Linked DNA regions of Oryctolagus cuniculus. The protein of the gene in region 2 purifies or fractionates together with the protein of the main gene of each other region. This does not show direct contact. Links are inferred from orthologs where the notes say so. Each region holds a gene or a part of one and is shown on either strand. Other genes may lie near its edges.

The links. Proteins that work in one complex are often made in the same cells at the same time.
Region 1: the proteins of ZCCHC10 (region 2) and NEURL4 purify together in Homo sapiens (co-immunoprecipitation; 3 studies listed by BioGRID and IntAct, with this or other methods). This does not show direct contact. The link is inferred for Oryctolagus cuniculus from reciprocal best matches to the Homo sapiens genes ZCCHC10 and NEURL4.

Annotation. Positions count from the first base shown.
Region 1 is NC_091448.1:51,927,442-51,931,552, forward strand, and holds the start of NEURL4 (neuralized-like protein 4), read right to left. Parts: upstream 2,801-4,111; 5' UTR 2,656-2,800; coding exon 2,383-2,655; intron 1,619-2,382; coding exon 1,174-1,618; intron 968-1,173; coding exon 902-967; intron 757-901; coding exon 458-756; intron 273-457; coding exon 161-272; intron 68-160; coding exon 1-67. Other genes in the region: uncharacterized protein, read left to right, coding at 3,770-4,111. UniProt on the Homo sapiens protein: Promotes CCP110 ubiquitination and proteasome-dependent degradation. By counteracting accumulation of CP110, maintains normal centriolar homeostasis and preventing formation of ectopic microtubular organizing centers.
Region 2 is NC_091437.1:21,523,621-21,527,840, forward strand, and holds the start of ZCCHC10 (zinc finger CCHC domain-containing protein 10), read right to left. Parts: upstream 2,801-4,220; 5' UTR 2,798-2,800; coding exon 2,568-2,797; intron 1-2,567.

The sequences.
Region 1 (4,111 bases), on a different chromosome or scaffold from region 2:
TCGCAGTACTCGCGGCGGGTGCCTTTGCCGTTGGTGAGGATCCCACAGCCGCTCATCATGATGGTGCCTGGTGCGGGAGGTGGACGCCCTGGTTAGGACACAGGCTTCTTCCCCTCAGGAAACCCCAGGCCTGCGCCTCCACCCCTGCCAGTGCGGGCACCTGACTGCAGGTTGGTCATGGTGGCTGGGTACTCCAGACTGTTGGGGTTGTGCGTGGTGACACCGATCTCGATGGATCCCGACCACTTATCTACAAGCTTGTCGATGCGGATCTGGGGTCCAGTGACAGCGGAAGGGAAGACCAGGGAATGTAAATACAGAGGAGGGGCCCCAGGCCTTGGTTCTTCCCAGAGCACGCCCTCCTTCCCCACCCCTCTGCCAGCACCTCCCTCCCTATCCAGCCCCATCTTCAGCTCCCAGAGGGTGAGGCGCTGGCCAAACCCCAGGGTTTGCACACCTCAAACATTTCATTGTCCCGCAGCGGGCGGTTCGTCATGACGACCCCGTTGTTGAACTCATCCAGGGGCCGCCGCCGCTCAGCTGTCTTGTTGTTGTTGCTGAGTTTGATGAGGGTCCCACACTTCTCGTGAAAGAGCAGGGCGTCATTGGAAGTGAGGATGGGCGAGGTGGCAGCGCCGCTGGATGCCAGCCCTTCCCCTGCCGGGGGGGAGCTCAGGTTCACGTTCAGGAGCCCCCCGTTGTAGGCAGACAGGATGGTGTTGCTCACCACCTCCGACAGCTCCATGCTGGCAAAGTCTACAGCAGCAGGACGGAGGAAGGACAGCGCGATGAGACCGCGCCCTTGGGCTTGGCGCCCTCTCTCCCTGGCCCTGTCCTGCGGCCCCTCCCCTGTCCACCTCACTGCCCACTTCCCCTCCCAGGGCTTCCCCGAAGCCCTCACCATTATGCGAGTCAAGGCTGTTAGGAAACGTCTCCGGCCGGGCCTGCGCTGGGGACACCATGAAGGCTGGGGACCAGGTGGGAGGGGAGGGGAATAAGGGTTCAGTCCCTGCACCAGGGCCCACAGACAGGAGACCCCCTCCTTGAGCCCCTGCTCTCTGCAGGGATCTGAAGGGCCCTGCCCACACCCGGCCTCACCTGTCACTACAAGTCTCCCACCTGAGCTACTCCCGCAGCCCCACCCCTCCGCCGCGGCCCTGGCTGCGTTCTTACCTTCATCCCCGGAGGTTCCCTGTTCAGCCAAGGCGGGATCTTCAGAGGGGGCTGAGGGCTCGAGGGGAGGGGTGGGGAGGGGAGCAGGGGGACAGAAGCCTGGCTCAGGGGGCAGCACAGTGATCTGGGTGCACTTGCCATAAAGGTCCACGACAGCCCAGACCCGAGCGGGCAGGCCTGTGGCAGCCACGCCACAATCCCGCCCGTTCACCCAGAGCCGCAGCTCCCCCGCAGCCGTGCGTTCCACGCCCACACGGTCCCCTTCGCCAAGCTGGTCCAGGTCCTGGCCGTACTCCTCCAGCACGGAGCGTCCGTCCCTCAGCACCGAGCAGCCTGACACTACCCACGAACCCCCCTTCAGTCCCGTGGCGCTGCTTGGGAAGTCCAGCACGCTGGGGTCCAGCGCCGTCACCCCGATCTCAATGGAGCCGCTCCAGGAGTTGACCTGTGTGTGTGACAAAGGCAGCGGATAGAGGCCCAGGGTGGGCCATCAGTGGGTCCCCAATGGCTGGAAAACCACACCCCACAGGCCTTTGTATCCCCTTCTTCCTATCCTTCGGCTCACTGGCTTTCCCTCTCTGAGATGCTGATCCAGACACGCAAACCCATGAGGCATTTCCCACTCTGCCTCAGTCATCGTTAGGGTCTGCTCTCCTCCAGACCCTGCGTGTCCTAGGGTGCTCGGGGTCTACCCCACTCTTCCCCGCCCCCTCCCGCGTAGGCTCAAGTTCCCAGCCAGCCTCCTAGCTGGCCCAGGTCACCCTCCTCCCTCGGGCCTCCTTCTCTCCAGGCTCCGCCCAGAATCTCCTCCCAGATTTTCTCACACACACCTGCCTCGCCCGGGTCCTCTTCACCCATCTCTCTGGCCCTACCTGTGAGTTCCCCCCTCCGATGCTTAGTCCTTGTCTTGGGATCTCTCTTCTCTTCCCAGCACATCTCTGCATCCCCCACCCCCAAAAAGCTGCTCCAAGGAGGCTGCTCCCTAGTCATTCTACCGGCGAGCCCCCGTGCCCCCCTCCACTTCTGCTCCTGTTTCTTCCTTCGGACTGGACGTCCCTGCTCGCTCCCTGTGCATCGCCCGGTGCTCTACGGCCTGTCGCTTCCCTGTCAGTACCCAGCGACGTGGGCTGCCCTGGCTACCCCGCCCCGTTCTCCCTCTGGTCCCCTCCCACTTCTTCACATCTCGGTTCCGCCGCCCCGGCTCTGCACCTTGCGGTCGATGCGGACGGTGAAGACGCGTCCATCGCGCAAGGGTTCTCGGCTCAACACCAGGCCGTGGTTAAACTCCTGGCCCGGCTGCTGCCGCCGCGCTGTACGCCCACAGGCCGACAGGCTCACCAAGCGCCCAGTGCGCGGGTGCAGCTCCGCGCCGCTGCCGAGACCCCCGCTGGACCCCGGTCCCGGGCCGCTCCCGCCGGGGCCCGCCCCGCCCCCGCCCGGCCCCGGCCCGGGGCCCCCACTCCCACCCGACCCCGCCGCCATCGCCGCTGACACCGGGGCCGCGCGACAGTCGCGCTTGGCGGCACCGTGGCAACCGCGGTAGACGGACACCCTGAGGGAATACGACCCGGGGCTGGGGCCAGAAACGCTTTACGGCACAGCCGGGCAACGAAGCACCTCCGGCTAAGGAACTAAGGACTACAACGGTGGGAACAGAAAGGACGACGGGGTCGGGGCGGGCTGCTTTACGGCAAGGCGCGATGACAGTGTCTCTGAGAGGAGTGAGGACTTGGGGAGGGCGCTTTTGCGACAGTGAAAGGAGGATACGCCTGTCGCAGGCATCTTTACGACGGAGGGCATGCTGGCGCCCAGCTTCAGCTTTGCGACGACCGCATTGTCGGCCCCACCCCCCTGGGAGAGGCAACACCTCCAAGTATTCGCTTTACGGCAGCAGAGGGCCGATTCGCTTCACGTTACTTCCTGCAAGGCGCTATGAGCTGAGTCTAGGGGAGCCAGAAAAGCCGTAGCTTTATAAATGAAAGTGCCTGCCCTCCACGTCACTGAGATCGGAAATGCGTTACGACAGCGTCGCAATCTCCTCACGCAACGCCTCGCTCCTCTCCTGAGGAGCAGAGAGCCGACTATTTAGGGAAGAACAAAAAAATTCCTATATATTTCAGGTCAAGTCTAGCTTGATCTCCAACCAAAGAAGCGCCCAGTTTCAAGCAATGGCACCGATGGTCCCAAAAGATTCCTTCAGAACTATATGCCCCCGGCGCAACTCCTGTCCTCGCGCTGTTGGCGGACTGTGATGTCACAATCGAGGCTTCTCGCCCCCTAGCCAGGTCCTCTGGCTTTGATTGGCTGGTTCGGATGAGGGCGGTGATGGAGGAGGGCGGGAACAAATCGCAGAGACAAAGAAAGTCTCTGGGTTGGACAGAAAGGGAACGGTGACTGGAGGGTGCCCCGGCCGGAGGCCTCAGGATGGTCTAGAAGCCGCCCACCGCCCACCGCGGCGGCAGAGAACGGAGGGGGAGGGGGCCCGGGCCTGAACCCTCGCGTTCCCCGCCCCCCCCGCGCTGGGGGCGGGGCCTGGGCGGGGCTTGCGGAGCAGGGAGGCGGGGCGGGTGGCGGACAGTGGCCCCCTGGTGGGGCCATGGAGAAGCAGGAGCCTTGGGGAGCTGCCAGCCGCTTCGACGGGGGATCTCCTGGCCGGGCAACCAAGGCCGGGCCAGAAGGGGTCAGAGGAGCCGAGGCAGGCCCTCGGCACCCTCAGTTCCCCGGGAGCTCCGCCATTCACAGCCCTGATTCGCGGCGGGCCCCTGCGGGAGTGGGCCTCGGTACCCCTGGCCGCAAGTGCGGCACGTGTGTTGCTGGATACAGCACCCCGTACCCTGGAAGCAGTGTACCCCACTCCGGGGCGCACGGTTCAGAATGCGGTTCGTGCCACGGGGCAACCTGCTTGCAATCCAAAGACTCCGGTGTGGACCAACCCCGG
Region 2 (4,220 bases):
ACCACCAACATGGCCAGACTTGAAAGTTTTTAGCTCCTGGCTTTAGCATGGCCCAGCTTTTACAGCCATCTGGGAAGTTAATCAGAAGATGGAAGATTCCTCTCTCTAATTCTGCCTTTCAAATAAACAAATTAATGTCTTAAAAAAAAAATTAATCTTTCGGGGCTGGTGCTGTGGTGCAGTGGGTTAAAGCCCCGGCCTCAAGCACCAGCATCCCATATGGGCACCGGTTCTAGTCCTGGCTGCTACGCTTCTGATCCAGCTCTCTGCTATGGCCTTGGGAAAGCAGTGGAAGATGGCCCAAGTCCTTGGATCTCTGCACCCTTGTGGGAGACCCAGAGGAGGCTCCTGGCTCCTGGCTTCGGATCGGCTCAGCTCCAGCCAATGCAGCCATTTGGAGAGTGAACCAGCAGATCAAAGACTCTCTCTCTCTTCATCTCTACCTCTCTCTGTAACTCTGTATTTCAAACAAATAAAAATAAATCTTTTTAAAAAATTCATCTTTCATATAGATTGCTAATTTATGCTTTCAAAATAAGCCTCCACCTGTGATGCTGGCATCCCACATGGGCACCGGTTTGTGTCCTGGCTGCTCTTCTGAAGTAGAGGATGGCTCAAGTGCTTAGCACCCTGCACCCACATCAGAGACCTGGTTCTTCAAGAAGCTCCTGGCTCCTGGCTTTGGATAGGCCCAGCTCCAGGTATTGTGGCCTCTTGGGGAGTGAACCAGAGGACAGAAGACCTCTCTCTCTGTCTCCCCCAAGATCTCTCTGCCTTTCAAATAAATAAATCTTTAAAGGAAAAAAAAAAAAAAAAGAATGACAACAGACCTTTCTCAGTTCTCATAACTTAAATACAATTTTAAACATATTATTATAAAAGTCATATATGCTCCTTATAAACAAAATTAACATTTTTTGACTAACATAATATGAAAATAAAATGAAAAGCAAAGACTCCTCTCCTCTCCCCCAAATACATCCCTAAAATTCTTTTGCACGTCCCTAACCTCAAAATAATCTTCCTTTCCTGAATCCCTGGGGGTATTACAATCTGTACACCACAACAACTTATATTATACCTCTTCCCAACAAGACCACAAGCTGCTCGAGCTCTGATCTGCCTTTTACTTCCAATGTACCTCATGGACCAAACACACACACTATACAAAGAAAACATTTAACTTTCTGATACTTGTGAATGAGCACTACTACGGATTTTGATTAGTCAGCATTCATCTACCTTTGACCCGTCCACCCAGATCATCCATTCATGGTCATCCATTCCACTAGGCTGGGAGAGGAGACCTCTGAGTCAATTGTAACTTCAAAATCCCACAGGTGTGCCAAGGCAGTCAGGTCACTGAAGTGCAGCCAGCTCCAAGCTGAGAGGATATAAGGGACCCTGGCATACTGCATTAGGAAGAAAACAGAGTCTGTTCCAGTCTGGAGCCAACATCCAGGAAAGCAAACCTGAGCAACAGAGGCAGAAGCAGAGAGGCAGAGACGGAGACCTAATGACATCAGTTAGCACTGAGCCTCCTTTCACCACCAAGCTGACTACTCTGACTCCCTGAGTCTTTATCATATTCAGGGAACTCTCATCGGGCCTGAAAAGGGAGAAACATAAAAAACATAAACATATATACGTTAATGGACTCTGAGCTATGCACTATAGGTGTGCAAAACGATGATGGTGTGAAACACTGAGAATGAAGAAGTAGCAGATGTGTTGGTAGGAAAGAAGGTTTTGCAGGAAAAGGGCCTCCGAGATGACCCCTGCATTGTCGGCTCACGGCAAACCTCTGGCGCCGCTGTCCTGCTAGCTCCTTAGGCACACTGGCCATCTTTCTGCTCTTGAGAAGTAAATTCTTTCTGGCCTCCAAGCAGTTTTGCCACTGTCTGGATGTTCTTTCCACACATCGTCTCAGGACCGGCTGCTTTCTCCCCATGGCCATCTCTGATCAAATGTCGCCTCTTTCCACCACCAAACCTCGTGTCCGTCAAAGCTGACCAAACTAGAGACCGTCCCCATCACCGGAGCGTGAGCTCCCGAAGCAGGGGCTCCATCGGAATGAAACACCTCTTCGTTATGCCCAAGCTCTGGCGCCGAGCCCAGGGACTACATATTTACTCAGGGAGAGACCGGCAGTAACTGAGAAGTAGCTGCTGGTTGAGTCCAGGGACGGCGATGGGAAGGGGGCAGCGAAAGACAGCTGGCCGGGAGGCTGCCGAGGGAGCTGCAGTTTACCTCCGCGGGAGCGGAGGGGTCCGACCCGGCTTCCCTTGCCCACGCGCCGTGCGGGCAGAACGGCCTAACCCACGGAGTGACCAACCCCCGCGTGCTGCCTTCTTGTTCCACGACCCCGCAAGTCTCTGGTCACCAAACTTATCGCCCGGGCCGAGCCCCGCGGACGCTGGCAATGTGTCTGAGCAACAGCCATCCTCGGCCGCTCCTCGGAGGGGGTCCGACGCCCAGCCGCGCACCCCTGCGCCGGCTCAGCCGCCGGCTGACGCGCGTCTCCCCGCCCCCAGCCCGTCCGGGAGCCCGAGAGGGCCCCCACTTACGCTTGTCTCCGGGCTATGAGCCGATGCATGGGAGTCGCCATCTTAGCGCGGCCGAGGCCTGCCGCGCTGAGTTTTGGGAAACTCCTCGCAGGGGGCGTGGACTTGGACCCGGCGGCCGCGGCGTGGGCGGGGCCTCCGGGCGGCTTCTGGGCGGGGCCTGCGGGCGGCCTCTCTGAGGAGGCCGAGGGCCGGAGGCGGGTGCGTGCGGACGCCGCTGTGGGTCCGTCCATGGGGCTGAGCGAGGTTTGCAAGGACGGTGACGGGGAAGCACATTCCCGAAAAGGAAAAGTATGTATTTTTAAGATTCGTGTGTATAGGTATCCCCCACACGCAGAGATACTGAATGAAACTACTGTGTACCGGAAAGCAGAAGTCTGGAGAATAAAATAGTGAGCGGGCCCTGGATCCGAGAGAATGGGTTTAGCACATCCTCAAGTGAAAATGGTGTTAACTGTTCATTGTTTAATATATTCACAGCAATGTTATAAGGACCAAAGCTGCTTTGGCAACCAGAAAAAGACCATCGCAAATATTACTTTAGAAAATTGTAGCTATACCTATTTGTAGTATCGACTCATGGAAATGTTCTCCCAAGTCCACAATCTTTTCTATATATATATATATATATATATATACACTCTTCATATGTATAATTACTCCAAAAAGTTAGTGAAAATGGCATTAAAAGAAAAATGTACATTTCCCACCAACTTTTCTGAAATCCTGCTGTATATATTCTTGTCTGTTTCTAGGTCACCCATTTGTATTTTTCAATTAATAATTATTTAGTAAAGTGTTTAGGAGCTTGAGATGCTGTGTTGTTCAAGTTTAGACCCTTGGGCACATGGAACTTTCTACAGATAATAAACAAAATCTGCTATGATTAGGGTGTTTTCCCCCGATAATTCATGTGTTACAAATTTAACCACCAGGGCCAGAGCTGTGGTGTGTCAAATAAAGCATCCGCCTGCAATGCCGTCATCCCATATCTGCACAGATTCAGGTCCCACCTGCTCCACTTCTGATCCAGCTTCCTGCTAATGTGCCTGGGAAAGCAGCAGAAGATGGCCCACATGCCAGGGCCCCTGCACCCACAGAGGAGGCAGCTCTTGGCAGGAGGCTCCTGGCCTCTGTCTAGCTCTGCCCTGGCCTGGTGCAAACACTTAGGGAATGATCTGACAGATAGATGTCTCTGTCTCTTCTGCCTCCCTGACCTTCAAATAAAGAAATAAATCTGAAAAAAAAAAAAAAAAGAAATTTAATCCCTAAAGTCATATATCAGTAATATTTGGTAGGTGATTAGGTAACGGAGATTCTGCCCTCATGAATAAATGAATCTATTTTCAGATTAATGGATTAATTTGGTTATTGAAAGAGTAGTTTCGTTATGAAAGTGAGTTCTCTTTGCCGTGCTTACTTGGTCTTGCAATATGATGTCCTCTACTGTATTATGATGCATTTAGAGTGAACCAGTGGCTAGGTTTACCCTTTGGCTGGCTGTCTCTGTCTTCCTCTGTACTTCTTTGTTTCTCTGCCTCTCAAGTAATCTTTTTAAAAAGGAAAGAAAAGGAATCCCAAATAAAGGAGTAAAGTGATTAATTTTGAGAGTTAGAGAAGGTAATGATGTCAGCTTTGAGTACAGCTTGTTCTTTA